Linked DNA regions of Astyanax mexicanus. The protein of the gene in region 1 interacts with the protein of each later gene in a pairwise test. Links are inferred from orthologs where the notes say so. Each region holds a gene or a part of one and is shown in the gene's direction. Other genes may lie near its edges. The genes, in order: protein BANP, lmo3, tox4b and map2k1.

Region 1 (7,689 bases):
ATCGATATTTCAGTATCGGTCTGCAAATCATTAGTGTTAACACAGTTTCGGTTCGTATTTAAGTATTTTTCAGATATTTTATAACATTTAAATATCTTTGCTAGTGATGTTTAACCTTTGTGTACAGTTAATATGTTTTAATAGTCAAACAAGCACACATGCAGCTATACTAACCTAACTGGATAGCATGCAGTAGCATTAGTTTACAGGTTCAGGTAAATAGCAGGACATACACCATATAAACAACAAATTGGTACAATTGCTTAATCCTTGTTACTTTTGAAATCAAAGATATTAAAATTAGTTTATGCTAATTCTGTTTAAGAAACTGACTGCTATTCAGACAAGTCATTTCACTATGATTAGGATTACACTTATTTTGGAACACTGCAGTGAGAATTTGATTACATTATGTGTCAGAATGGTCAGTATGCAGGATGTTGGATGATTACCACCCTATCTGACTTCATCCCCAACTTTTCAACTCATCCTAAAAGTATTAAACAATACTGGAGGACTTTTACACTTTTATAACAATACATGTCTCCAAAAAGTCCTATTCTGTTGGCAGTACTTATTTAAAGAGACTAGACAAGCACCCCAATGGGTACAGCTTGAAGTAAATAGTATTCAAGATTCAAGAGATTCAAGATTCAAAGAGTTTATTGTCATATGTACAGTACAGAAACGGGTTTCAGTGTACAATGAAATTCTTTCTTTGCTCTTCGCCAAGAATGCCAAATAGAAGATAGAAAAAGTGCAAAAAAATACAATAAGGTTATAAATATTAAACTAATTGTCAAAGACATAAAAAAATAAAAGTTACTTAAGCAAAGAAATGTATAAAAAAAAGTGCAAGTGCGAAATAATGCAGTTATGGACATTAACTATATATATTAAAAAAAGATTAACAGTAAAGTGACGGCTGCAATGTAAACATGTTGAAGTAAAGTGAAGGGTTATTCCTGAGTTGTGTTCAAGAGTCTGATCGCAGGGTTATACCTGAGGTGTGTTTAGAGTCTGAAGGCAGGGTCATTCCTTAGGTGTGTTCAAGAGTCTGATGGCCGTGGGGAAGAAACTGTTCTTTAACCTGGTGGTCTTGCATTTTACACTTCTGTACCTCCGGCCTGAGGGCAGAAGTGTGAACAGTCCATGCTGGGGATGGGTGGAGTCTTTGAGGATGGATGCAGCTCTCCTGTGGACTCTGTGGTGGTAGATGCTCTGCAAGGAGGGCAGTGGAGTCCTGATGATCTTCTCGGCAGTCTTCACCACAGAATGCATTTAAAAAAAGATGGCAGTTTGGCATTTTATTTTCCATGACAGAGATTCTCCCCAATATATTATATATATATAGAGAGTTTCAGTACAAAATCAGGGTATTAAAAGTAGCACTGACAATATAGGTTTACATTGATTATCTTGCATGTGATGTATGTTTATTACAGGACCTGATTCCTGGTATTTCTGCTACATATTACCGGTGTGCTCTGTGTGATGGGATCCTCACTCATGTCGTGCAGATCTACTGCCCTCTTGCTGCGTCTCCATATCACCGCACCATTAATGTGTTTGCTTGCACTAATCCACAGTGTTATGGCAAGCCAGAAAGGTAAATTATCATTTTCATATTAATTAAGACACAGTTTACGCTGTTGCCCAATATTTATTCTGGTGGCTTCTTCTTGTGTCTAGCTGGAAAGTTCTGCGTTCGCAGTGCTTGGAGTCTGAAATGAAGGACATCAATAAAGATAATCAGCAGGTGAAACAAGCCCCGGTGTTCGCAACAGACTGGTGTGATGAGGCCGATGACTGGGGGATGGAAGCTGAGGACAGTGAAGCTGAGATCTGTCCACACACTAATCTAGACACAGCTCAGACAGTGACAGAGAGACAGCCGGACACACAAACAGCTGGACCAGTCGACAGTATTGGACTTGAGGGCCTCTGTTTAAATGGATCAGGGGACAGGGAATGTGCCGTAGCTCCTACTGCAGTACCCACTTTTCAGTCATTTTACATCAGTGTGGCGGAGGAGACAGACTTAGTGGGCCAGAACAATGTGGAACATGCTAACAAACTTTTGAAGGAATATCAGGAGAGGGAGGGAGTTGCTGTTGGAGAGCTTGAAAGGTGAGGACATTTTTTGAATGGCTTGCGAAAGCTAACAAGGCACCCCTGAAAAACAACTAATTTGATCTTATTTCCACTACATTTTAAAAGTTGACAGTTTTAAACTATAATGAATTCTAGTGATTTCAGAAGTGCATGCTAATTTATAAATAAACACAGCAGTGCTGACTGGTTGTTTTTGCCCCGCCTGTTCACAATTCACCTGTAGCGTGATCCTTGCCAATGAAACCAAAATGAGGAGCTAATTAGAAATGTTCTGTTGTTAAAAAAACAAAACAAACAAACATATGTTTTAAAGTTACCGCCGCGGCTGACTTTTGCCAATTCAAGTGTAGATATAATTTCAAACAGATGGAGCTAAATCACAAGTCAAGCAGGCTGCGGCACAGTAAAGTGTAGCTATTTAATTGTATTTAATTTAACAGATGAATTACAACTGTCATGTAAACAAAGTGAATGGTACAAATGAATATATATCATACTTTATGTATAAACTACTAGCAATGGATAGTCAGACTGAAATTTGATTGCTGTGTGGGATAGAATATGAAAAACCACTCATTACATAGTAACATTGCTTCAGCCTCTTTCTGTGCTATGCTAAAGACGGTTGCTAGCCTAAAATGTACCACTAATAGTTTTTCGCTTTTTTGTGCATTTTTGCATTAATCCGAACTTGGAGAAGGCACCAGTTTCGGCTGATTAACTCAACAATAACGTACTGCATGGGGAGTTTTGTTTTTGTTTTGGTTGTGTCTTGGAGAAAAGGATTTATTTATCACCTCCAGAAGGGTTTGCGCAATCGAATTTGAACCTCTTTTAAATGTGTCTTAGTTGCGTTAACACTTGCATTCTTAACTGAGGATCAATGATGGATCTTTACCTGAATGCATTTTTACATTTTACTAGGTTAATGTGAAGGAAATCTATGACATGATACTTTGTGTGTAAATACATTATCCTTAAAAAAAAACACAGGACAGGACAATAGTGCATGTTAAATTGGTTGCTTTAAAATAATAAATAATTAAGCACAAAGTATTTCAGTTTTATTGTCAGATTCTGCTTTTGTGTTATACTTTCAATTCTTTACATTTTTTCAAATAATAAATATTCAAATATATATTTTTTTCTCTTGAAATAAATTTTCCTCGTATTTTGAATTTTTATTCAGTTGTGAAGGAGAAGGAAGAGGGGAGAAGTATGAGAAGGCAGAACCCAAACACGGAGATGCCTTCTTCTCCAATTTCATGAAAAGAATATCTCTCTGTCCAGAACAAGTTCTTCGGTGAGTGGATTGCAAAGGAAACAGTAGCAAGTCCCTAGTAAACAATAACTAACTACAAGATTTATATCTGTATGAGCTGATTTTAATGTAAATACTTTGATGTTTTATTAATATATGCTCTGTTATAATATGTTGCAGATACAGTTGGAGAGGCTCACCTTTGTTTATATGTGAACGTCCTTCAAATATTCATCAGATGGAGCCACCCTGTGCACAGTGTGGCAGTCCTAGAGTTTTTGAATTTCAGCTCATGCCTGCACTCGTCAGTTTGCTTCGTAGTACAGATTTAAGTTCAGGTTTGTCTGACTTAGCTCTTGTTTTTTCAGTATATGTTAAATACAGAGACCATGCTGGTTGTATCCTGTGTCAAAAATTATGAGAGCTTTGCTACATTTACTTGTTTTCTTTAAAACAGAAGTAGATGATATGTGTATAGTTTATATAATTTTTTGTGGCCTTTAGACACTGCGATAATACAAATCATAAATTATTAATTTCTGTATTGATTCTGGTGTTTTCCTCCTTTGTACTTCTTCAGAGCTCGTTTTGGAGTTTGGGACAGTGATGGTCTACACCTGCAGAGAGAGCTGCTGGACTTCTGGATCGAACACACCTGTTGAGGAATTCCTTTTAGTACAAGCTGACCCTGATCAAAAGCTGTTCAAATGACATGATGTATAATAAAGAGCATACCAAAATATCATATTTCTTTTTTTTTTATTATAACTTAATGTAGGATTTAGTATGCATGCAGTATCATGCGGAAGTCAACCAACACTGCTTTATTCAGGCTATTTGACTTACTCTTTTGATGAGGACATATTTCTGAATTGTTTTGACAAAATCCATGGGATAAGCAGTGATTGGACTGTGGGCAGATGTTAAGTCAAGAGGCTTTTACATTTTTTACAGATTCCTCGATTTTCTTGTTTTGGGTACATGCTCCAGGGTAAGCAATGAATTTATTATCATTAACAGCGGTTTAATTATGTCTGGTAGTACGGGTTTTAGTAATTTTGTGGGAACTGTTTCGAGTGTGCAGGTTGTGCTGCTTGATGAGGAGATAATTTTCTCTATTTCTAGCTGCGGAAGTGAGTTAAAAACGTTTTGTTTTATATCAGCCATACATTCCACGCATATATCGAAGTATTGAATGTGAATAATTTCGACACCTTTGTCCCTGGCCTGTGTGAGAAATTGGCCCTGTATGGAGGGGGGTAGTTATGAGGCCTGCATGCGGTGCTGCAGTGCCCGGCTCCTCCTGGTTCTTCACGGGAGCGCAGTTGAGCTCAGAGACGAGACCCGAGTTCATGAGCAGACTTCATCTCTCGCGAGGAAGGACGCCATTATCGGAATCCCTACAAACAACACGAGAATTCATCCTTCTCACGGTAATATAACCCGCTCTGAAGCCCCGCCGCGCGCACAGTGCTGCGGGCAAGGCGGCGCCGGGCGCTTAATTCACGCGTTTTTCATTTTCATTTTTTATTGTTTTCTTTCGCGCCTCATTCATGTTTCAGCAGAGAGGGCTAGTAGGACTGCGGCTCCGGGCCTGGAGCCGTTTCCTCTCTCTGAGTCTTTCAATATTGTTGAACATTGGAGCAAGTTAGCAGGAGCTGGCTAAAGCTACCTAACGTTAGCTGTGTTTATCTTCGCGGGCAGAGAGCGGAGTGTAGCCCCAGACCTAGTAACTGTAGCTACCGGCGGGGACTAACCTACTTAACTAACTAACCAATTTTAGAGCATAAACACGGCTTTTATGGGTTAAAATACGCTGCTGTCGCTGACCAAATTAAATACTTACAACAGAACAATTTGTACTGAATGACCGTGGCTAACTGGCTAGCTAGTTAGTTAGCTTAGCATTTAGTTTAGCATAGGGAGAAATCCAGGTCCAGGAAGTAAAAATCCAGCCCGGGATTTTATTATTTTTTTAGAGTTGTCTAAGCAGCTGGAGCGAAGTCATGGACAGGATTTTTATTTTTTGGATTTTTATTTGTTAAACCACCACAAATGTTAAGCTATCATTTGCCTAGCTAACGTTGGTGTGTGACCTTCTTGGTTAACTGTAACTTATATAGACGAAATGCTTAATTCTGCCATAACAGCATTTGCATTTAACATAAGTAAACAATAAGTAACGATTTAATAAAATGGAGGTAATTAATAAACTAGTGTTTGTATCAGCTGATTGTAATCCACACCTTCTTCACACCCATCTTTCCCATAGTCTATCCTCCTCTGCCCATTCATCAGTCCACAGCTAGCTAATCTTGCTAATTAACTGTATTGCTATTAATTCACATTTTATTATTTAGTTTTAATGATTTTCTACTCAAATAAAAGTTTTTTTTCTACATACACGTTATCTGATTCTGGTGTGAATCATGTGACCTAATACGAATTTCATAAAGCATGCTTATGTAGAAACAAAAAAAATCCATATAAATCTAACGTTATTCACATTCACAAAATAACTAAAGACATTGTAAAAGCACTTCAAACAGAAACTTAGATAGGAACTTAAGCAAAATTGGTGCATCTCAGCCCTGGAGCACCCCCTGCCCCCCTCTCCTAGTAAACCTTATTCAACAAATCAGTTTTATTAATAAAAGGGTGTAGAATCCCCTTTCAAAATTGTTACGATATTTTTTAAAAACAGATTTGGACTGCTGTTTATGAAGATGCAAAAAGATTAAAAAAAGATTCACATTCGCAAAATATTTGCTTTGCATTTCAAAAGATTTATAACTACAAAAAAGCTTGCATCACTTTTACAATTTTATTTGAACCTATGCGAAGGTCAGAGAATTCTCACAAGGACTGTTGCATTTAACAGTCATTTGCAGCCAGTTACATTGTCCTTTCCCCACCAAAGCACTGTGGTTCAGGGCACTTAACAAAGAGGGTAAAAAATGGATTTGTTGAATTATAAAGTTTCATTTAAAGCTGGCAACATTGGTAAGAAAAGATAGCTAAAGTTAAATAAATAAAATATAAAACTTAAAGAGTAAAAATAGATAATACCACTGAAAAAAATATTTTAAGGTTTATCCCAATTAACAAACCTCAGAAAGCAAAACTAGCTCTCCACAGTGAGCTAAACTACACAGAAATACAGGGATGGGTAACTAACCTCTTGAGTAGTAAGCGTCTTTAAAAAAGGAAAACCACCAAATTAAAGAAGGCTAATATATTAGAAACTTTGCCCCATATATGTGAGGAAGTGCTGTTGTCAAGAGAAGGTGTCACAATATGCAAAGATTACACTATATTTTTTCCTGGAACATAACAAACGTCATATTTTGTTCAGAGGTAATAAGAAAAACAAATGAAAACCAAACATTTAAATACAATTCTAATTTTGTTAGAAGCCAGATAAAATAAATGTGAAATATATGTATTTTAGGGGTTTTATTTCTTACTTTTGTATTGTGCAGTGGAAATATTGTGGCATGTTTTACTGATTTGAAATAAATATGTTTGACATCTTTAAGTAGCCTAAATGTAACATTTCAATTCAGATTGTGTATTAACAATCTGACCAATGGTGTGTTGCTGCATGTAAAACATGTATGTGCTTCAAATGAGTTTATAAAAGCAAACACCAGACAGTTCATCAGTTGTTCCTTAACTGTAAATAGTCACACAAACCAAATTTCTTTGCTTTTTTAGGTGTGAATGATGTCCGAGCAGGATCTGGTGGAGATAGTCCAGATTGCTGTGGCAGATCTAAATCATGAGGAACATGATGCAGGTAAGAGAATTGTTTAACTGCCTCTGGTATTTAAATGTTCAAGATAGTCTGTAGGATTACATCGGTTTACAAGTCCTTAATACATGTGTCTTTAAACTTTGTTTTTAGGCTGTTTATTTTCCTTTGACCCTGCAGCCATATTCTCCTTTGCCCTTTTCTTTAAAAAAGTTTTATGAGGCCTGTTTATAAGGCCTGGTGCCTCTATATTTAGCCACTAAAAACCTCCCTCACTGCTCTTATGAATTTTCCCTTCTCCTAGTGCATGTACTGTATATATACTTACTTTTTGACATAATAGCAAATGCCCTAAACTTTAGTATTTTTTAGTATTCTGTGTTTTATAGTTTTTCAACACTGTGGCAGCTGTTTACTATGTGTTGTTTAACATTGCTGTATGTGTATTGGATTAGATGTGTTGGAAAACCATGAAGAGGCTGACAAACCTGAGCGAAAACGAGCGAGGATGGAAAGTAGTAATCAAGATGCAACTCTAAAGGTGAGAACAGCACTTGAG
Region 2 (7,363 bases), about 52 Mb from region 1:
AGAAAACAGGAAGTCGGTCGTTTTTGCGTGGAGGAGAAAAGACAGAAAGGAGAAAGGAAATAAGAAAAATAAGTAAAGGAAACGGACTGCTTTCTGTTTGTGAAGAAGAAGAAGGAAGAGGAGGAGAAAGAAGAGGGGATCGAGTCCAGGCTTAGACCTGAAGAGTACCGGCTTGGCTGCTGCTTGTTTCGCTCGGTACAGTATCCTGAAGATTTTCCCCTCTTTATACACTCAGTCTAGAGTTGCCTGTGCAAAAAAAGGGAAAAAGGGGGTGGAGCATTGTGTCCTGTTATGATTTATATGTAAGACTTGTGCAAGTGTTTGGACAAAGTTTGTGTGTTTGCTAACTTTGCCACCATGGAAGTCTGATGAGTAGCCTAAAATCTAAAATTGTAATGGTGGTGGTGGGGGCTGGATGTTGTGGATGAGTTTTGTGTGACAGAAGGTGCAGTAACGTGGTCACAGGGCATTGCTTGCATTTTTGATTGGAAGCTTAGTGCACAAGAGCCATAGCCTGGTTGGTTGTACTGAGATGTTTCTATCACCTTGCGCTGTAGAGAGTGAGAGATTGTGTGTGCACATGCGTGTGTGTGAATGTGTGCCTGCACTTGCAAGTTGCATGCGGGTTTGCATGTTATAACTTTATGCACCTTTAGATTTCCTCTCTCTATCTCTCTCTTTCCTATATATACACACATATACCCATACACACGTGTGTGTACCGTACTGCTGCCCAGCTCATCTCTCCACATAACTCACATATCTGTGCTGAATAATTGACGTGATAATGCGCGAGATGAAGTGGTCGTTGGGGGGAGGGGTGCGAAAAAGAGAGAAGAGCCAGTCTCGCGCTCTCCATCTCTCTCTCTCTCTCTCTCTCACTCTCTCTCTCTCCCTTTGCGTCTCTCACCCCCGCAAATTGCATGATTACGCAGATAGCCCGCTTTGAAATAATTCAATCCATGACAAAACCTAATTACAGCCAGGTAATACCCTGTCAGCTTTAATGCATCTCATCACTCATAATGGTGGCGAGGAGCGTTTTATGACCCATCTCATTAGTGCTGCGCTTTAGTCACAGTGATTGGCAAGAGGCCGCCTGCCAGGACTACCGGTGGACTCGCTAACTCTGACCCCATCTCTTCACCACCCTCGTCACCTCACCCGCAGACTGATGGGAAATAAAAGAAAACAAAAGCAAACTTTCTGAGATCCAAGCTATTACCTGTTAGGCTACACTATAGGAGTGTTTTTACAGTTTGTGTGGAGTAATTATGGACTAGGTGTGAACAAAAGCGTTGTTTAATAGCGAAGTATCACAATATTGTAATGTTTTGGATTACTGTATTAATTCTCAAAACCACAGTGTCTGATTAAAGCATCGCTGGCAGACAGTGGTTCATATTATGATGTCCCCTCAGATTTCACTCTTCTGACTAATTGAAACATAAGCTTTTCATTTTCTCAGATTTTATACTATTGGCAGTTTTATCTAAATTTTGATAATAAAAAAATCTCAGTATATCGTCTTGCTTACAGTATTGCGATATATCACAAAATATTGAATCACAACACCATTCCGCCATACCTATCACCAGGTTCTTACCAATACAAAGCCCTAATATGGACATCAATAGGCACTCACTGAGGGGGGTAAACACCGAGTTTGAGCTTCAGAGACACGTACACAAGCATGCACATGTTTACCAGTGGAAATCAATTATATCTGCAGTAGCATGAAGTGTAAGCACACTGAGAACACTCAAAAAAAAGAGATGTGCCAAAAATTACAGAATGTCAGCACTGTTTCACAGTGAGTAAGTTTACAAGCAAACAATAAACCCAAAAATGTGTCATTGTGTCATTGCTGCATAAAATAGGGTAACTACAGGGTAACAAAAATAGGGTAACTACAGGGTAACAAGAGAGCAAATTGTAGGCTAATTAAATTAGAATTGAGAAGCAAGGTAAATAAACATTACAAATAATCTATGTGTTGCAAATTAGACACTGTCTTAGGAATGTGTTAAAATTAAAATTCCTGAAACAATATACGTAAAATGGACAAATTACCTCTTAGAGTGCAAGAAAACTAATTGTTCTATTCTGTCCAGGCAGTTAGTAAGTTAGTAGTCGGACCTTGGCCTGCAAAGTTGATACAATTTTTGGAATGTCGTTAAAAAAGAAGGCCTTTGACATTTAACATGACTCAGGTACCATTCTGACTATATGTAGCCTATATAAAACTTCATATTATAGTCTCTATCAGAGTGCACTCTCAGAAAAAATACTCTTCAGTACTATATTTACACAATTGTTTTACCCTAGTTTTAGGGGACATTGTTGGGCTTAAAGGATCATGCTGTACCTTTAAGGGTACATTTGCACTTTGATGAAAAAAAAGCCTGTTAAAGCACCTTTTATTTAGAAAGTGTGTTGTGGTCCTGGATGGCACGTGCACACTTTTTACAGAGCTTGAATTAGTTGCAGACTGAAAGAGAGAGTAAAAAGCGAGAAAGGTGAAGAGATAGATAGCAAGATAGTAAACAAAAACCTGTTTAGGCAGAGTAGACTGACTAGCAGAGCCGTTTATATACATGCGCGCGTCTCGACATCCACCGCACGCGCGCCAGAGAGCGAAGAGAGAGCGCGCGCGAGAGTGGTGTAGAGACAGACGGACGCACGCTCGCTCGCTAGCACGCGCGCGCGCTCCCTCACTCACGCAAGCTCACACGCACGCACGCACACACGCACGCGACTCCGACTATCAGTTATAAGTGAACGACCTTTTCCTCGCCGTGTAAAACGTCTCTCTTTTTGCTGGTTTACAGTAGTCACTCAGTAACGCAGTGCGTAAAAGAAGCTCGCGACTCGCGGCTGCGCGTGCACCGGTGCGCTGCTCCGTGTCTAGTCCAGCTTGTGTGCGCGTGTGTGTGTCTATGAGGGCTCGCGCGAGAAGAACACCTGTAGCTGCGTGTCCGAGTCGCGGGTTGTACCTCCATCCATGTGGACCTCGCTGTTTTACACCTGAAGATTCGCAGTCGTCCGGCCGCCGCGGCGCCATGTGGGTCTCGTGAACTTTATCAGTGTTGTTTTTCTGCTCGGAAAGATCAGAGAGTTGGGGGGAGTGAGATCGAGCCCGGAGTGAACCTTCTGCTCAACTTGGTCAAGAAGGTGAGTGGGGGGCAGCGGGGGGTGGTCGGCGGAGGACAAGACTTTGGTTCACTTTAGGCTTTAGTTTTAGCTAAGAAAAGTCACATTTTTAACACCTTCTTGTGAATGTGCTTGTAGAGCTAATAGGCTTCATTAGGTTTTATTAGTAGTATCTTATATAGGAACTATTAGGAACAAAAACAAAAGGCAGAACCTTTCAGACTTAGGTTTAAGTTACATTTATACATACATACATACATACATTTTGCAACGTTTTCAGCATGTTTTAACGCATGTCAGTATGTCTGTTTTTAAAAAAGAGTTATAGCATTATTTTCTAGAAGTTTCTTGTGTTTTTATATAGATTATATGTGCTTAAACAGAGTTGTTAATGTGTTTACTTTTCCACTTTTCTTTAACATTTTCTTTTTTTATGTCTTTATTAAGGGACTTTTTAAATGACTATTTCTTTTATTGGACAACAAAACAGCAGCTAGATGCCAGATGCATAAAACACCGGCATTTAGAAAATGTTTGTATCTGTAATATTTTATCTGTTACAAACATCAGCACTATTTTGGAGTAGATAAATAGCTGAAAGCTGAAATTTTCTTTTATAAAGGCATATATAAAATAATGTAATGTTTTCGTAATTACGTGTGTATGGACGTAGATCGGTTTTAGTATGTGATGGTTTTGTTGTTACTTTTTATTATTATCAGTATCCCACGTTATTTATTTCAACCAAACGCTTTGTAGCCTATACTGTTGTCGTTCAAAAAATAAAAACGAGTAAAAAGTCATCAAGACAATCATTATCATCATGATTATCATCATCATCTCCTCACTATAAACCAGCATAAACACACGAAACACACGAGCTGCTGCTTCTGGTGGTGGTGCTGCAGCGGCTGCTGCTCCGCTCGGTCCCCCTGTTTGTTTTGTGTGTGAGTGAAGCGGCGGCAGGATTATAGTGTGAGGGCGCCGCGGAGGGGTTTGCCTGAGCGTGTACGCCTTTGTGGTCCGCTGTCATTTTGCTCGCCGTCACTCCGCGCGCGGCTGCTGCGCTTCTGCTGCTGCTGGATCTAATTTCATAGTCGAGCTCTGCTCGTGACGAGACGCGCGGTGTTAGTTAGTTAGGGCTAGCTATATCAGCGTGTGGCGCGAGTCTATCTCTCCCTCTTTCTCTCCATCTATTTCTCTCGTTCTGTCTCTCCTTCTCTCTTCTCCGTGGCTCTACCCTCAGCAGCAGCGGCGGAGGTCCGGCTGGGCTCCGTTGATTGGTGTTTTCCTCGTTTCTCCCTCTTTCTTCTCTGAGGGAAGTGAGGCGACGCTGGATTTGTTAGCTAAAGCTACTTCTAACAAAAGCGAACCGCCCTCAGAGAGAGAGAGAGGGAGAGAGAGAGAGTGTGTGTGAGTAAGAGAGAGAGTGTGCGTGAGTGAGAGAGAGAGAGAGAGAGAGAAAGAGAGAGAGAGAGAGCGCACGCGGCTGCTCACTTTACGAAGACCGGGGGGGAAGCCTGGGCTCGCACCTCCTCTTGTTGCATGGTGTGTGTGGTGGCGGTGTTTTTGGACGAGCTGAAGCGGGTCGACCAATGCAGAAAAGGGAGAAAAGTTTCGGTAAGAGCTTCACTCTCTCCTTTTTCAGGTAGATTTATTGTTCTCTTACCGGTTGTGACCGTTATATCCGCGAGACAGCCGTTTCTGTGCTGTAACGTTATAGTTTCGTTGGCGTCTCCGTACGTTTCCTTTCTCCATTGATTTTCCTCTTTTTATTTATCGTGAGATTTTGTCTTGTGTGTCGTGTGTTTTCTTTTCACCAAAAACGTGCTGTAATTATACGTCTCACACTCTTCCGAATCGCATTTTCCTCCTGTGTTTGTGTGTGTTTACGTTTTTTAGTGTGTCTTAACGCTTAACGTTTCTCGTTTTCGTTTCTCGTTTTCGCTCGCGAGCTGATTTGAAACGCGTTTAACGCTCCCTGAGTTTAACGGTCGGGCTCCGTTCGCGTCGCGAGCCGCTTCGAAAATTGCCTCCTCTGTAGCAGATCTTATTGGCCTTTTCCAAGCACCGCGCTGCCATGGCAACCGTAATTAAAGTGATAAGCGGGTGAAATGTCAGCATCTCCGGCTCGCGCAGCTGTGACGCGCTTGAACGGAGGAGGGACGGGGATGAGGAGGAAAGGGGGGCAAATTGGTACTTTTTACCCAAGTCTCGCTCGAACCCTTAAAACCGTTCAAAAAACGCACGCGGTGCTTCAAGCAGAGCATGAGAGGAAAAATTGGGGATGAGCACAGACAGTGAGGGACCTCATCTGTGTGAACTGTTAGTGCTAAAATATAGACATAAAGGCATAAAGATAATAATAATAATAGATAGATACATGTAAGGACAGTCACAAGATAGGACAGTGTGTTTTATATTGGTTTTTGGTGTTGTGTTTTCTGGGAAATCCCAGAAAAGAAATGATAATAATTTGAGAAATCAGTCCACACACAAACTCCCAGACTGGCCATCTGGAGGCAGAGCACTAAAAGAATAGGGTCTGCATCAGAAACCAATACTACAGTACAGTACAAAGATTATACCGCAGGACTGCACAATATATCGTTTTTGCATTGACATCGCGAGAAATGTAATGTCATGTAAGGCAAACATCTATTTCTTACTTTTTGCCCAAACAACAGACATGCTCAAACAAACCCATAAGAACCTTCACAACACATGCTGGTGCTTCAGGGATCTCGTCTAGGTGAAGAGTTTGTGCTTAAATACAGGCATAAAAAAAATAATAATAGTTAGATATATGTACGAACAGTTGCAGGTTAGGACAGTGCTCCTTAGACTGGTTTGTGTTGTGATGTCTGGGAAAACTAGTTTGAGAAAAAACTCCCAGACTGGCCATCTGTAATGCAGAGCACTAAAAGAACAGGTTCTGCATCTAAAACCAATACTAAAGTAAAGTACACATATTATACTGTTCCATGTACTGTTCAAGGCATTGTTTTTGCATTGGCATCGCAATTGGCAGATTCATAATAAAATAGTCACATCTCAGGACATGTTGCGTTGAATGTCATGTAAGGCAAACATATATTCGTTGCTTTTTGCCCAAGACATGCTTAAACAAACCCCTAAAAACATTCACAACACATGCTGGTGTTTCAGTAGGACATAATTGGAAAGACTGGGGAAGAGCACAGACAGTAAGAGATCTCGTCTGGGTGAACTGTTCGTGCTGAAATACAGGCATAAAAAAATAAATAATAGTTATATATATGTAAAGACAGTTGTAGGTTAGGACAGTGCTCTTTAGACTGATTTGTGGTGTGTTTGTCTGGGAAAACCGAGAAAAAATAATAAATAATACTTAAAGAAATTAATCCACACAAAGACACACAGACTGGCTTTCTGAAGGCAGCGCACCAAAATAATAGAGTCTGCATCCAAAATCAATACAATATTAAAGTACACATATTATATTGTTCAACTTAGGACTGCACAATTTATCGGTTTTACATTGGCATCGATATGTGTAAATGCGTAATAGAATAGTGACATCACGGGATGTCATGGAATGTCATGTAAGGCAAACTATCTAATTGTTACTTTTTTACGTCTAATTGTTAAGGCTTGCTCAAAACCTAAAAACCTTCAAAACACATGCTGGTGCTTTAGTAGGACACAAGAGAAAAGGCTGAAGCTCAGTGTGTATGTAGTGTGCTAGTGACATTTAGTGTCTAAATATACACACACACACACACATATATGTTTATATTGCACTAATTCACGTATTGGTGGTGTATTTTTCTAGCAAATATGTATTACTTTTACTGCACTGACATACTATTCATTATAGTAGTGGCCATGTTGTACTAATGATTTTACTTTAAATGGTGATGTGCCATCTTAATCTGCTACGTATTGTACTACAAATGGTGATGTACTGTTTTGATGTACCATTCTGAATTGTACTATTCATAATGTACCAATTAACATGTTTAAATTATGTTCTATTTTGATGTATTACTCAGTATTGGTGTTATGTATTGTACTAATGAAAGTACTGAATAATGAAAATACAGCACCACATACATGGTGTTGTACAACACTGACAGACTGTTAAGTTTTTCTAGCATGCAGTTTTGGATGCAGCGTAGATTTATTAATTTATTCATTCATCAGAAATATACTGATACGTATTGTTCCA
Region 3 (7,055 bases), on another chromosome or scaffold:
TGGCCATGCTCTCACCCCTTACCACTCGTAATGTTATGTTTGTCAGTACAGGCATCTGCTAGATGATTTATCAGAGCTGGGTATCCAGCATCTTCCTCTGAGTGCAGAAAAGAGGTGGAGTCTGACTCCACATGTATTGGAGGACGCATACGTTAATTTTCATGCTCCCAGTGATTTTTTTAAAAAGCTACTGAAACTTTTAAAAAATATCCAAAATACAGAAGACTCTGATGCTCTACAGTAAAAAAAAGACCTCAGGACTGGATCTGTTGCCTTTTGCTTTCACACAGAAGCGTGGTGTAGGTATGTAGGCTAATCCAGCATTACACCAGTAAAGGTGATCTGGTAAATGAGACTTTTTTTGAGCGGCCTGTTTTAATAACTAATGTCCTTATCCACTTGTTCTCACCACATTTTCCCTTTTAATAATCCACGATGGCCCTACTTTATTACTTTTATTAGTGAAGTTTATTGTATATGCTGGTACAGTGAGCTATTATATAAACTACGACATTACAGTGAAGTTTACTGTAATCAGACACATGGAGTTAGAATCAAACCATTAGTAATGTGAATTGAGATGTGATTCATTCAAATCTGGATCAGTGTCAACAAAATTCTGAATTCTGAACTAAATATTAAGGTGTGTAGAAGAGTGGAAGGAATTTTAGATTCTTCAAAATAGCACCTCTTGCTCACCTCAGCTTTGCACATCTTTATAATGTACACACCTAGAATTCAGGCTTTCAGTTAACAGCAGTGCTGAACTCGTCAAGAGTTATTTACTTGAATTTCTTGTCTCTTAATGTGTTTGAGAGCATCAGTTGTAAAGTTGTGAAGAGGTAGAGTTGGTATACAGTAAATAGCCCTATTTAAATAATGTTCTAATCCATATTCATTCAGATATATCAACTGTTTTAATGCTTTGAAAAGTCTCATAGTAGCTGAACATTAGCTGTTTTTATTTAGAATAGTAAGTACACAATCCTATAAAACCATCCGGTAGTCCTGCAGACTGCTTCTAAAAACATTAGTGAAAGAATGCTTCCCAAGCAGCTCCATCCAAACCTCACATCACCAAACACAGCAATGCAGGCCTTTACTTTTGGTGATATAGTGTAGAAGACTAGATTACTGAACTTCTCAGTAGGCAGCATTTATCATGTTTCAGACATATGCTCTACAGACCCCTGTCACTGGGAATGATCAGCAGATCTGTTCTCCATGCTCCTGGCCTGCAGGACTGAACCACTGTGTCATAAATGGAGGGGTGTGGTGGTGGTGATTATTATAACACTAGAGACTAATCCTGTCTGTTTTATTCTAATTATAAAAAAAGTTCTAAACACACTCTAGTGTGTGTAACACACTGTGAAGAAAGGCCAGCCACTGTTTTTACTTTTAGAAACACAAAAGCATAAACAGCACTGGTTTCATTTTCCCCCTCTTACTTCAAAATTATCCTGAATCCCCAAATCCAGATCCATTACTCAGGCCTCGATTGAGTCCTCTGTAATGCAGGGGCACTGTAACAGTAGGAGGTTCGAGTTGACTCACTGAGTCGATTCTAATGAATGAATCATTGCAGAGTTAAATGGCCGTGTTGAGTGATGCATTGATTTGTAATAGAAATAGTAACTAAACATTAGATTACAGGTACTTTTTAGTGTTAATCTAAAATAAATTATATATAATCAGGGTTCATACACTTTTTAACCAATAAATTTCCATTATTTTTTCATGACTTTTTCATGTCTTCATGGCAAATTTTCATGACCATGCGACTTTCTATTTTTATAATAAAATGTGCCTCACATCTTGAGCGCTCCATTGTGCTAAATTACTAATTTAACTCTGTGCTGTTGTGTTTGTTAGCTCAAAATAGATTTTCAAAATAGATTGTAGACCAAAGTTCCATGACTTTTTCAAAACTTTCTGGGTATTTTTATTTTTCCAAAACTTATCCAGGTTTGGAAATTGCTATTTTCAAATAGCATGAAAGGTTTTTCATGACCGTACGATCCCTGACAATTTAATATTTATGTGCCCAGAAATTTAAGTTATTGTAATTTGTATTTATTAAATTGGTGTGAATTTATTATTGTTCCCCAAAAATGTTACTCTAAACTTCCTATTTGGTATTAATGTAAGCCAACATAGCATTCACATAGATGTAGATATAGCATAAATATTGAGTCTAAAATTACTTTAAATTATTTAATTTTCATAATAACCCCTTATAATACATTTATATGAATTGTCAGTAACACTTTACAATAAGGGTACATTAATTCACAGTACTTACAACAGAAATGTCTCAACTATTTTTTTTAATTGACACTAGTAAAGACATCATTAACCAATACGTATCAGTTTATTATTTTGAATGTTTTACAACATTTTCCAGCAATAAAATTAAGTAATGTTTAGTAATATCTTAATTACTTTCAATTAGTAATTAGTGAAAACATTACCTCACCATTTAGCCAAGTTTATTGCTGTCTTAAGTGGTATTTGTGACTTATTGTAATGTGTTACCAAATTTTCTGTGATTAAAAAACATGGTTGCTTTTATTTTTTATGTTTCTGCTTTTGTTTCCTTTTGCAATGTTCAGTGTTGTGGAATGATTATATTTTTTATTGAAAAGGAAAAAATGTTTAACATTTTTTATACTGCCTTTAGGGTTTCTGGAAAATGTGTAATTTTTCCATACATATATTTTTTTTATATTTCAATCAGTTGATACACATATTCTGTATTCATTATTGTATACATTTTATTTTTTTTGCATGATTCCTTCCTCTATTTATATTTAAAGTGGTCAATTAGGTTAGGTGTGAACACCACTGGGTATTACTAGCTACATCTTTTTGTTGTAGAATTACGCTGTGCAGTGACAATAAAGGAATAGGTCGTAACAGCAAGGTGGCTTAGTGGTTACAAGGTATGCGTTCCAGTGCTGGGGCCCTGCCTTCAAGTCCACATCTGGGTGGAGTTTCTATGTTTAACTCGTCTCCGTGTGGGTTTACTCCCACAGTCCAAAAATATGGAGTGTATGTGTATGTATATGGGTGAAAGTATGTATGTGTGTATGGCCAGATATGGATTGGCACTCTATGCTGGGTCATCAGGTGGACGGTGGTTTCTGGTTGAGAGTATGCTATGCATGATTGGCTGCTGCCTTTCACTGGTCTGTGTTGATGAGTGTGTAGAATATAATTGTAAGCAACCTTGGGTTCCTAGAAAGACAAACAAGACCTATATAAGTGTAATTGTAAGTAGCTTACAGTGAATTTGATTGTGGGAAGTATATACATATATCATTCCAACACCATATTAGTTTATATGATCCGTCGCACCTGCACACGTCACGCCCATGCTCTAGCAAGAACATAGCAGATGTATGTAGACTAGTGTGAAGATGATTCGTGCAGAGACTCAAGAGAGCTCCAGACAAACTCCAGTCCAATTAAGCTTCTTTAATATATTTACATTCTACTAAAATACATTCATTTTCAGTGAACATATATGCAGCTGAAACAGGGTCATTGCATATTAAATTTAATAACATTAACATTTTAATAAAACATTATAGTCCTTATGGCTTTTAGAAAACTGTGTTTTGGGAAGGGAGTAGTGCACTATAGGACTTTTTGCAGCTTTCCCCTTACATTACTTTTACGTTTATAATACAAGTAAATTTAAAAACTTACTTTAAAAATGAAAAGCTTGAGTTGATACTTCAGCTTCTACAGAAGTATTTTATTAAACCATGGTATCTATACTTCTACCTACAGAGTAATAAATGGAGACACTTTTTACACCTTTGTTAGTGAATCGATTCGACTGATTCATTCAAGTAGATTGAAAGAATCGGAGAATCGGCTCAAATAAATGAATCATTCAGAAGTCAGTCATCGTCAGTACAGAGCAGTGAAAGGAACAGACACGTTCCTGATGTGACGGACAGCCAGTGCTCTTTATTTATTTGATATATAACATTTGTGTATTATGAGGTGTAGTCCGCTGGGTGTTAAGTGTAGAAATAAACGCGGGATTTGGTAGAAAGCGGGAGTGTTGGCCGTGTGTAGCCCCGGGAATCGGTCATTCATAGCGGGGAGCTAAGCGACACACCGCCGAGGCTCTGCACGTTAGCAGCGGGCTAGTGGAGTTAGCCAGCCGGCCGGCCGGGTCTAGGCTCCTCTTCCGCGGATATATAGATATAAAGGCCCGGATTGTGTTTAAAATCTTACAGAGTTCCGCTACATTTCCTCTTACAGCGCTTCCCAACACACGGGTAGGCAGCTCTCCAGCCCTGCTGTAGCCTGGCAGCGCCGGGCTGGCATGCTAGCCCGGGCTGCGGGCTGAGGAAGCCCAGGGTGGGAGAGCTATTTTTGGGGCAGGAGTATCCGAATACAGCGGGGGTGAATAATCGAGCTCCTGCTAGAATAATCGACTCGACTCTGTTCATTAAACTCAGTGATATTCGGGTTCTCACTCAACATGGATCTGAATTTTTACTCGGACTTGACAGACGGAGCCGGTCAGCCCGGAGACCCAGAGTTTCTGGACCCGCAGGCCTTTAACGGATTCGATTCGGTTCAGAAGGTGAACAATTCGGTTTCTAAGCTCTCAAATGACCAGCAATGATCGAATACTTGTACAAATGTTTTTATTTCCATAACCTTCATTTTGAGAGCTCCTGTGTTTGTTTATTTGTCTGGATCAACAACCACGACCACACTATTTTATTTTGGTACTATTTATTAATTGTGTTGAAGTTCTAGTCGACTACACTGTCTAATATTTTTAGAGCTACATTGTTTGTGCAGTAAAGCTGCAAATAATTAGTTTTGTAAACTAATTCAACGATTATTGAGCTGTATTAATTGTGTGATGGGTTGTAGGGATACAAGTAAGTGGAGTAATCTGTCGATTATTCTTGTAGTAGGGCTTTGGCTAATGTTTCATTAATTCTCTTTTAGAGCTATATTGATTGTGTAGTTGCGCTGCAACTCTTGATTATGTTGTTAGTCGATTCATTTGTTATTAATTATTATTTTTAGGGCTATGTTGATTGTGTAGTAAGGCTGACACTAATTATTTTGTTATTCAAATAATATGTAGATTATTCTTTTTAGAGCTATCTTGACTGTGATGTATGGCTGCAACTAATGTTTTTTTAGTCAACTAATTTGTTAATTATTATTTTTTTTTACTATTAAATTTAAGTAAAACCTGAGAATCGGCCCAAATTGGTTCTGGAATCAGTCATTCTGTTTTAAGAGCTATAATGTTTGTGTAGTGTATTGATTGTGTGGTGGGTATTTGGTTCTGGAATCAGTCATTCTTTCTGTTTTTGGAGCTATAATGTTTGTTTAGTGTATTGATTTTGTGGTGGGTAATAGGGCTACAAGTACTGATCATTTTGTTAGTCAAAATATTCTTTTAGAATGGCTGCAAGTAATGATTATATTGTTAGTCGATAATCTGTCAATTATTTTTTAGAGCTATATTGATTGTGTATTAGGGCTGCAATTAATGATTATTTTGTTAGTCGATTAATCTGTCGATTTTATTTTGTTTATTGGTTTGTTTTTAAAGCAATATTGAATGTTTAGTAGGGCTGCAACTGACATTTATCTTGTAAGTCTATTTTTCTCAAGACAAACTAGTAATCATTTTGGTAGCTCACCAAATATATGATGAATGTAGGCGGTATTACACTTTTTACTAAATTATTTCTTTAATGTTTCTAACTTTGTGTTGTGTGCTCAGTTCCCAGGAGGAAATGACAACTACTTGGCCATCAGTGGAGAGGGCCATCCTTTCCTATCCTCCTCCGAGGTTGCTCTCCCATCATCCTACTCCCTTCAGATCCAGGTGCTTCTATGTCTTCTTGTTTGTTTTTGTTCTTTTTTAGTTTTATGTGAAGAAAGGCAGAGGTTTAAAGGGGAATCTCGCTGATTTTTGTAGTACCAATATATGAGTTGTTGAAATGTGAGCAGGCTTATTCAGAGCAGGAAGTTATTATAAAATTGTAGATCATTACAGGATACAGTCAGGGTGATGGAACAAAGTGTTTGCCCTGACTTCTATGCAAATATAACCAATTTATGTGCTATCCAAAGCCATCAGTAATCCTACACGTGTCTTGAGTTTTGGGGATGGGTATGTTGTTGATGGGAAAACCAGAACAAACCCACTTTTTTTGTAAGCATTCTTACAGTTAATTAAACAAAACTTAGATGAAGAACAGTGACCACTGTGTGCACGATGGGGCTTGTTTTGCATTAGATATATTAAAGGTGCTTTATACAATTTCAGTTCAATACACTAATACACTGACTAACTTTTTGTTCTGTTTGCTTGATAAAGCTCTGGCCCTTGTGCTCTGGCCCTTGTGCTCTGGCCCTTGTGCTCTGGCCCTTGTGCTCTGGCCCTTGTGCTCTGGCCCTTGTGCTCTGGCCCTTGTGCTCTGGCCCTTGTGCTCTGGCCCAGCAGCAGTAGTAATAGCAATAGTTTGCTAATGCTAACTTGGATAAAGCTAGTTACATGCCATGATATTGCACTCTAATGTTATACCTTGGTATTTAGTTGTACAACATTTATGAAGTGTGTTATGGTTGTGGAAAAAAAAATTCACTATCACAGTGTGATTTGGATTTAAGCATAATTCAAAATTATGAGTAATTAAAATGCCAGACTAGCTTGTTGGACAAGGCAACTGTAGATCCCTACATTGATAACTTAGCTTATACATACTTACAGTTCTCTCGTCAATAAATGGATATTTGCTGAACAAAATTGTCTTGCTTGTTTTTTTACTCTGTTTTATATGCTGTGTTTGTTTGGTCGGCTAACACAGTGTTGCCACCTTGAGTTTAAGCTCATCCTGAATCATCTTTTTTTCTGCAGACCTTCCACACCCCCAGCCTGGGCGATGAGGAGTTTGAAATCCCGCCCATTTCGCTGGACCCTGACCCCGCCCTCAGCGTGTCCGATGTCGTGTCGCACTTTGGAGAGCTGGGTGATGGCGGCCCGTCCTCTAGCG
Region 4 (8,098 bases), on another chromosome or scaffold:
ATGCTTCCCTCTGCTGACAACTTTATTGGGATGCGGATTTAATTTTCCAGCAGTAGTTAGCACACCTCCCACACTGCCAAAAGTACTCATCCTGTGCAACAGAGGTAACTCCTGGCTTTTTTTTTTGATGCATTGCTGACACAGATGTGCAAACACACATGTATCAGTGAAAAGGAGCGGTGCATTTGGGTGCACTTTGAGAACTAGTGGACACAGATATCTGATTTTCAAGTAAATATCACTACCCAGACTATCACTAAAATAGTATATGTATATAAAACAATATTAGCTATAGTATTGAAAGAATGACCTCTGTAAACGTACCTCAGAATGTATTACAGTCATTTACCCACCATGGGCAATACAGGTAGGGGCTTTATATTCCCTGTTTTCGAACTACACAAAGCTGATACACTAGCCTTGTAAGAAGAGATATCAAGTCAAAATTCAACCCACAGAGATCACTGATGCAATATCAAATGCTGTGCTAAAACCAATAAAATGTAGCTATGTAGCGTTACATAAAGGTTCTTTGCATTCAACAGTACAATAAATATATAATTGAATCTCAACCACCTAGGGATGTATGATCATGTCTAAATGATATCAATCATTATCAACAAACACATTTTCAAAAATGTATCTGCATCTCTATTTTATAAATATTTATGCATCAGAATCAATTAGTATCTGCACTAGCACCTGTGTGTCAAAGTGTGTATAGGAGAAGCATAATCCTTCTTAAGCCACATTGTTTCTGCACTTATTGACTATGAAAATCTTTTTTGCATGCAATGATTGACACTTAAAGGGAAAATCAGAATAAAAAGTAGGCCTAGTGATGCTTCTGTATTGATTTTTTTCCTCTATGCTACAGTAGAAATCACCCAGTAATCTGTAAACCACCTCTCAAATAAGGGGGTTATTATTTATTTACATACACTGATCAAGCATAACTTTAACACCACCTGTCTAATACTGTGTAGGTCATGCTTCTGGCACCAGAACACCTATGACCAGTAAAGGACTCCACAAGGCCTATGAGGATGTCCTGTGGTATCTGGTACCCAGATATTAGCAGGAGATCATTTAAATCCAGTTTAAATCCAGCTGCAAGGTTAGACCTCCATAGATCACATCAGTCTTATGCAATCAAGACTCTGTTACCAGTTCATTGAATGACCTTCCTATAAGCACTTGTCTGTACTGTTGTGGAAATACTCTTGCCCATCCATCTGGCCATCATAATTTCCATCTTGTCAAGGTTGCTGAGATACTTCAATTTCAAGAACTGATGGTTCACTTGCTATCTAATACAGGGTTTCTCAACCTGTGGGCAGAGGACAACCAGTGGGCTATGAAACACTCTCTAGTGGCCTGCAGGTCTATACTCAGGGGGAGACAGTAGTTCTTAGTAAGCCAGTGACAGCAATTTTAATCATAAAAAGTATTTTTTGGATAAAATCATTTAGTATACATATAAAACCAAGAGCCATAAGGAACATTAAACATCATTAATTTGAGGCAGTGTGTGAACCTGATTTAGACATGATTTTTTTTTTTACATGATAAAAAATATGTTTTCTTGTGTGTCGTTATGCCATAACATTATTACCAGATAGTCCACTCTTAGAAAAGGTCTAATATAAACTGATATGCCAAATATCATGGCATACCAGTATGTAAATTGATCACAATGTGTTACCTCATTTAGCAGCTTGGGAACACCTACACCTGTATAAGTTGTGAGGTGTTATCTGAGAAGTAAAGTTAAACCCCGCCAGCATGCTCATGGCAAGGTGATGTGAATTATATATTCACATCTGAGGGAACTCTGATAACGATGTGTGTACCAGGAATATGTCATAAGAGGCATTCTCACCCACAGTGGACAGCGCAGTGGTGGTAATGATTGTGACCCGCAGTGTCTGGCTATAATTTTCCAAGTGAACAACTAAGGCTAACATCCATCACATCCACATTCAATGCAGGAGGCTGAATACATACAGTATATTCCATACATCCGTGCAGCATTCTTTAGTTCCTACTGAACATGACAAAACACATGGAACACAGCATTTGTTCCTGTCCCATGACATATGGTTCATCTTTTGTAAGGTGCCACTGTAAGCAGATAATCATATAATTGTATTCACTTCACCAGTCAGTGCTTTTAACGTTATTAAGCCTATTAGTCTATCTGCAAATGCAGATCCTGATACCTTAATTGACCTTTCAATTGAACAACATAACCATGGCATTTGATTGGTCAGTGTCCAAATACAGATAAATGAGGATAAAGCATTGTTGGGCTGCTTTGAGGAAACAATGAGTAAAAAGGCCTATTATCTATTCTTCCACTTAACATGTGATGAATAAATGCAAGCAAATGCTGTGCCATACTGCCAACGTGCGTGCCAGGGCCTTGCACATCCATAAAAAAAGCTTCATTATGCACATCTGCTGCACAAACCTGCCTGCACAACACCGCCAATGCAGAAACACTGATCCAATCCTGAACTTCCTTTAAAACATCGCTCACTCAGACAAGAACAAGAGCTACCTTTCATAAAACACAGGCTCATATTAGTCTATAAACAACATGTGTTTGCTCACATGATGCATCATTAATCTGACAGCATCTCATTTGTATAAGATCAGATGCATCTCAGTGGGATAGTGCTTGTGTCTGTCTATGCAAATCCAGCAATTATCCAACTCTGCTCCCAGTGGCACCATGCGGTGGGGGGTTCTCACAATCTGCTGAGTAAACCTTTCTCCTCTGTAGGACTGTCCAGCAACTTTTAACTGATATATTAAACTTGCACCAGTACTGACACTGCAGTGATATAGTGTTGCTTTATGTGAATCATTTCAGACAGCTAGCATCTCTTTTAGGCCTACCATCATATGTGAACAGAGTTTTTCAGTGATTAATGACTTTGAGCTGGCATTTATAAGAAATGCCGTTCCACATGACACCCGCAGAAGTTGTATGAAACCATCGCACAGGTGATCCAACTACTTAGTGGGTCCCGTCGGTAGGAGTCATGTTTGTGTATGTGACTGCCATAGACATCAGTACATTTAACTCACCACTGATGCCATCACAGGATTGTCACACAAGCAGCTGCCTTTTGCTGCTTTAAGCAGGAATCGAACCCACAACCTACTGGTTCAGAGTCCCCAGCCTTACACACTATGCCACCAGAAACATGTGAGAGAAGCACCAGTAGAACAGCAGGCCATTAAACACCCTATTAACACATACTTAAGTATGTAGAGATGGAATTCTCATTAGCATCAATGAAGAGATATTTATTATACAGTAAATGCCTTCTTTAAAATACTTCTGAAATGATAGATACAAACTCTGTAAGCTGATAGGTGTGACCTGGTATAGATAGTTAAATATAATTATTTGTGTAATTTGTCCCAAACATTAAAGGAATGGTTCACAAAGAAATCTAATTTACATAACTTTCTGTTTATAGTACCAGTCAAAAGTTTAGATACGCCTTCTCTCTCAAAGTTTTGCTTTATTTCTGTTTTTTTTTTGTTGTTTTTGTTTTTTTCTACATTGTAGATTAGAATTAAATGCAGGACAATAATTAAGGGACACAAATAAAGTTACACAGTTAAGAAAAAAGTGTTTGGCCTCCACAATCCTCTGATCTAAACCAACTGAGATGGGAGATTTAGTTGAGCTGGACCACAGTGTGAGACAAAAACAGCAGAATCTAAAGTACAGAACATTCTCTGGTTTGTTTTCCATGTTTTTGTGTTTTAAGTTACTGTATAGCTTTAATTTCTTTAATATGAGATTTAAAATGTAAAAAAAAAAAATAAGAAAACACATTAAATGAGAAGAATTGTGTTTAAATTTTTGACTGAAACTGTACATCATAGTTAATCAGCCATAAGGTGTATGAAGATTGCTTCTTTATACAACATTCTTCTTATTTTTTCATCACTGGAACATCATTTAGGTCTAAAATGATTAAAATGTGCAGGATGTTTTTGGGGAAAATTGCCCAAAATGATTTTTTATTTATACATAAATTATACATGTGATGCAAATCACAATAAAGTCTCCTGTAATTGTATATTTTTTACTGGACTTTACATTACTATTGAAATCCTTTAGAACTACTAAGAATAAGAAATGTCTAAAAACTGTAATATTTTCTGAGGAGCTTTTTAAAGTTTTTTTAGTTCTTTATCTTTAGGATTCTTTCTTTCTTTCTTTTTTCTTTCTTTCTTTCTTTCTTTCTTTTCTCTCTAATGCACATTTTCATGCTGTATTCTATTGTGGTTTCTTTGTATTAACTTGAAACTGTAAAGAATATTAATCCTTTCAGACACTGCATCAATTGCAATGGACATGGTGTGCTTTCTTTTTTCTTGTGTATTCTATTATCCTATTAATCTTCAGGATATACATTTATTAGCCAATCAAACAGCAGACTGCATTGGAATACTAAAATTCTGCCAACTGAAGTAAAGCAGGGTAGCATCCCAGCTAACGTGGCAGAGAAAACACAGTTGCTGCAATTTTTTACAGTTTAGAAATATACACACATCCACAATATCTACACACATTTGAATATATATATATATATATATATATATATATATATATATATATATATATATAAACGATATATATATATATATATATATATATAAACGATATAAAATACAAATATTATGTTTGATACATATTATATATTAGTTTATTATTTAGTGTATTGTTATTTTTAATTGAATCCTGTTTTTGAGTGCATAGCATTCTTTTATTTTTTTATCACTAGGTCTAAAAGGGTTAAAAAAAACCCAAAAGTTAAAAAGGAGATATTTGTGCTAGTTTTTTCTTCCAGCAGGTGGAGACATTGCCCAGCATTAAGCCACGCTCTCCGGAAGACAGATGTAAATATTTTCGTGACGCAACCAGCCCATCTCCACAGTCATATATCCACCCATATCAGTGCGGTATTGGTGTATATTGTGTTTCTGTCTGTACAGGGGGCTGAGCAGTGCTGTGCTAGTCGCCGAGGAGAGCGCGTGCCTGTTTTAATAGTCTACTTTATTTATCTCGTGTTGTCGTGTTTGTGTGCATTTTTCTCAGACAGCCACTGGGTGTGATTAGCTGTATATATACCCTATGCATCAGACCGCTCTCTCTACAGCAGCACGCGGGTATTTCTGCGGATCAGCCTTCTTCCCTTGATTTATTTCTGATTGCTAAACTGCAAGACATCAAGAGTCGTAATGCAGAAACGAAGGAAGCCAGAACCGATCCAGCTCAACCCAATTCCTGATGGGAACGCCGTTAACGGAACCGGTGCCTCGGAGTGAGTATGGTCTGGTCTGGTTCAGAAGCTTAACCCTAACAGGAAAACCAACTAAATGATGCTCCTTCAGTAAGATACATGGTTTAATACTATAATTACTGGGGATGACACTGGCTGATCATCAGGCTGTGTTATACAATACAGTGGTATTCTGTGTAGTGGAAAAGGAACAATACTGTTTCATACTCTTCTGTTTTGATCATAGGCTCATATTGTTTTTCTCTTTTTAAAAAAGTTATAAAAGGTTTTATAATAATGCTTATTTCCTCTGAGAAAGTGTAAATACAGTGTATATTTAAAAGCCTTGCAAGCTAGACAGCTAGGCTTTAAGGACACTAGGACAGTGTTATGAAAACACTTTCATTGTTATATTCTTTTACTAAAAGGCCTGCCAATGCAGTACTGTTTTAGACTGTGTACCTGGCACTTTAAAAATGACAATTTAAAAATGGTGCATCAAACTGCAGTAAACAAACGAGACAACATAAGCAATGGGTATTTTAAAGTGAATTAATGAAAGTTCAGGTTAGCTCAGAGTTAGAGTATCAGAAATGCTTGTTGGCACACAAATAGGAACTATTTCTTTCTTTGTTCATGTGTTTACAATGACAGCCACACATAATTGCATCAGTATTTACAGACACTTTCAAAATACACAGTAGTTATTGTGATACTCATAATTGCAGACAATGACTAAAAATCAGTAATTGCAGAATCTTAAAAAAAACATGATTTTAAATTTTCTCAAATGCGTTTTACAACCACTAAGGATATCCTCAATATACTCTATATTGTGAAAGTACATAATGTATAAGGATAAAAAGAAAGAATACACACAACTTGGTGACTGTCTGGCAAATAAAACTAGGAGTGAATAGGAGAAAGGGATGAGAAACAAACAACAAATAAACAAGTGCTTCCGTTCTGTTGGATATGATATATGGTGAAACCCTAGGAGTGAAATAATAGTAAGACGAAGAATAAAACTGTAAATAAGGTTATATATACAGATAATATATACAGTGTTGAACCAATGCACACAGTGCTCATTCATGTCCAAATAGACTTAAGAGCAAATTGATTGGGAATAAGTTGTTGTTGTTGCATAATTTTACTAAGAATCAGATGACATCCCTAAAAACAGAAGGGGGAGGTTTGCTCTCCACACAGAGAGCCCTTATCACAGTGGGCCAGAGTGGCCAACACACAGTAATGATTCCTCCATCAAATAACCTGTCCAGTCTTTCTCGCCCCCTCACAGCCATAAGTTAGGTAAACAGATTTTGTTTCTAGTTGTTTCCATGTGAGCGTGACTGTGTGTAGTGATAGGAAAGCACGGCTCAATCTATCATTAGGTAATATGAGGGCAGAGGATGTCCAGAACCTTAGGAACCCAAGTCTTAAGAACTCCGGGAACAAATGGAGAGGCTGATCGGTTTTGACAGCATGCTCCACTTCTTGAAGCTTGAGTGCAATCGTCTCATTTCACGTTGTTAAGCAATCACGGTGGATCATTTACAGCAGCAGCAGCTATCACCATTAACAAACAAAGCCCTGCTCCCAGTGCCCGGTGCTGGCCTCTTTGTTTAGAGGCTGTCTGGAGATGCTGAGGGCTGCCGTGTCTGTCTGCAGCTTCATGTGGCAGGCCTGTGGTCCTGTTCCTCTCTCTCTCTCTCTGAGCCAAGAGCCAATCACAGCGCTGGCGGCCTGGACTCAGTGGTCCGTGTCATTGCCTCTTGTTTCACCGGCGCTCCGGGGCCCAGACACTTCTCTTTCACTCTTATGCTTTGGCCTTGAGAGACCATTACTGATTCAGAGGTGCGGGAAGAGGTACAGAGGCGTTCTATTTTACACATGGCACTGCATTGATTCAAGCCTCTTTTCAAAGTGTTGGAAATGATTGTGTAGGAGGACATAATGTTTCAGCTGACTTTATTTTCTCCTACTGCAGTACAGTATGTTCACAGATTGTAGACTAGTGGTTACAGGTTACACAATCAGGTTATGCCAGTTCTTTTGGCAACTCAAAATATATTTAGTGAAAGTTTTGCACAATTCAGTTATAAAGACGTCATCATATGAGCCATTCAGAGAGGTAGATTATATACTTTATCCTTTTCCACACTCTTCTTCAGTGGTCAGGACCCAGTCCCACAGGACCACCACAAAGCAGTGGTCATTTGGGTGGTGGGTCATTCTTAGCACTGTAGTGACACTGACATGGTGCTGGTATGAGTGGATAAGGCACAGTTGTGCTGCTGGGCTGAAAATAGTCAATATTCCACAAATATCCAACCAAGAGTGTCTTGTGGGCCGTTAAGAAGGACTGTTTTTACACAGTGATAAAAACTTCCAGCAGCACTGACGGTGCTGAACTGCTCTTCTACTATAACAACAGACTGCTTGGGTTGCCTACAGAGCTATAAGTCTAATAGTAAAAAAGCTTTATTTATTTATATGATATATCAGGTTCTTAAAGAGCTCTTCCCCTTGTAACTCAGTGGAAGGGGTCCAATTAGAAAAGGGATTGGGCCAAAGGGTTTGCTCTTCTCTGTACCTGAGGAACACTGTCTAAGTTCAAAATCCCCAAAGAGACAACACACTTTCTGCTGGCTTTAAGTGAAGTATTAGCATCTTTATATGAAACAGTAGGGACTCTGAATGGTGTAGGTGACTTAGGGACAATTTATAGTAGCTGTGATCCTCATGCCTTAGTTTGACATACAGCTCCCCAGAAATGAAAC

What was found.
Region 2: the proteins of protein BANP (region 1) and lmo3 interact in binary tests that used the Homo sapiens proteins (3 or more experiments, as listed by UniProt). The link is inferred for Astyanax mexicanus from reciprocal best matches to the Homo sapiens genes BANP and LMO3.
Region 3: the proteins of protein BANP (region 1) and tox4b interact in binary tests that used the Homo sapiens proteins (3 or more experiments, as listed by UniProt). The two-hybrid records come from large-scale screens. The link is inferred for Astyanax mexicanus from reciprocal best matches to the Homo sapiens genes BANP and TOX4.
Region 4: the proteins of protein BANP (region 1) and map2k1 interact in binary tests that used the Homo sapiens proteins (3 or more experiments, as listed by UniProt). The two-hybrid records come from large-scale screens. The link is inferred for Astyanax mexicanus from reciprocal best matches to the Homo sapiens genes BANP and MAP2K1.

What each region holds. Positions count from the first base shown.
Region 1 is NC_064409.1:62,589,593-62,597,281, reverse strand, and holds the start of protein BANP, read left to right. Parts: upstream 1-4,601; 5' UTR 4,602-4,809; intron 4,810-7,093; 5' UTR 7,094-7,099; coding exon 7,100-7,175; intron 7,176-7,585; coding exon 7,586-7,671; intron 7,672-7,689. Other genes in the region: pdcd2l (programmed cell death protein 2-like), read left to right, coding at 1,446-1,609, 1,693-2,130, 3,305-3,418, 3,557-3,714, 3,957-4,087. UniProt on the Homo sapiens protein: Controls V(D)J recombination during T-cell development by repressing T-cell receptor (TCR) beta enhancer function. Binds to scaffold/matrix attachment region beta (S/MARbeta), an ATC-rich DNA sequence located upstream of the TCR beta enhancer.
Region 2 is NC_064409.1:10,575,930-10,583,292, forward strand, and holds the start of lmo3 (LIM domain only protein 3), read left to right. Parts: upstream 1-4,207; 5' UTR 4,208-4,698; coding exon 4,699-4,801; intron 4,802-7,363.
Region 3 is NC_064432.1:21,417,131-21,424,185, reverse strand, and holds the start of tox4b (TOX high mobility group box family member 4b), read left to right. Parts: upstream 1-3,900; 5' UTR 3,901-4,504; coding exon 4,505-4,609; intron 4,610-5,779; coding exon 5,780-5,884; intron 5,885-6,919; coding exon 6,920-7,055. UniProt on the Homo sapiens protein: Transcription factor that modulates cell fate reprogramming from the somatic state to the pluripotent and neuronal fate. In liver, controls the expression of hormone-regulated gluconeogenic genes such as G6PC1 and PCK1.
Region 4 is NC_064416.1:23,842,400-23,850,497, forward strand, and holds the start of map2k1 (dual specificity mitogen-activated protein kinase kinase 1), read left to right. Parts: upstream 1-4,969; 5' UTR 4,970-5,271; coding exon 5,272-5,354; intron 5,355-8,098. UniProt on the Homo sapiens protein: Dual specificity protein kinase which acts as an essential component of the MAP kinase signal transduction pathway.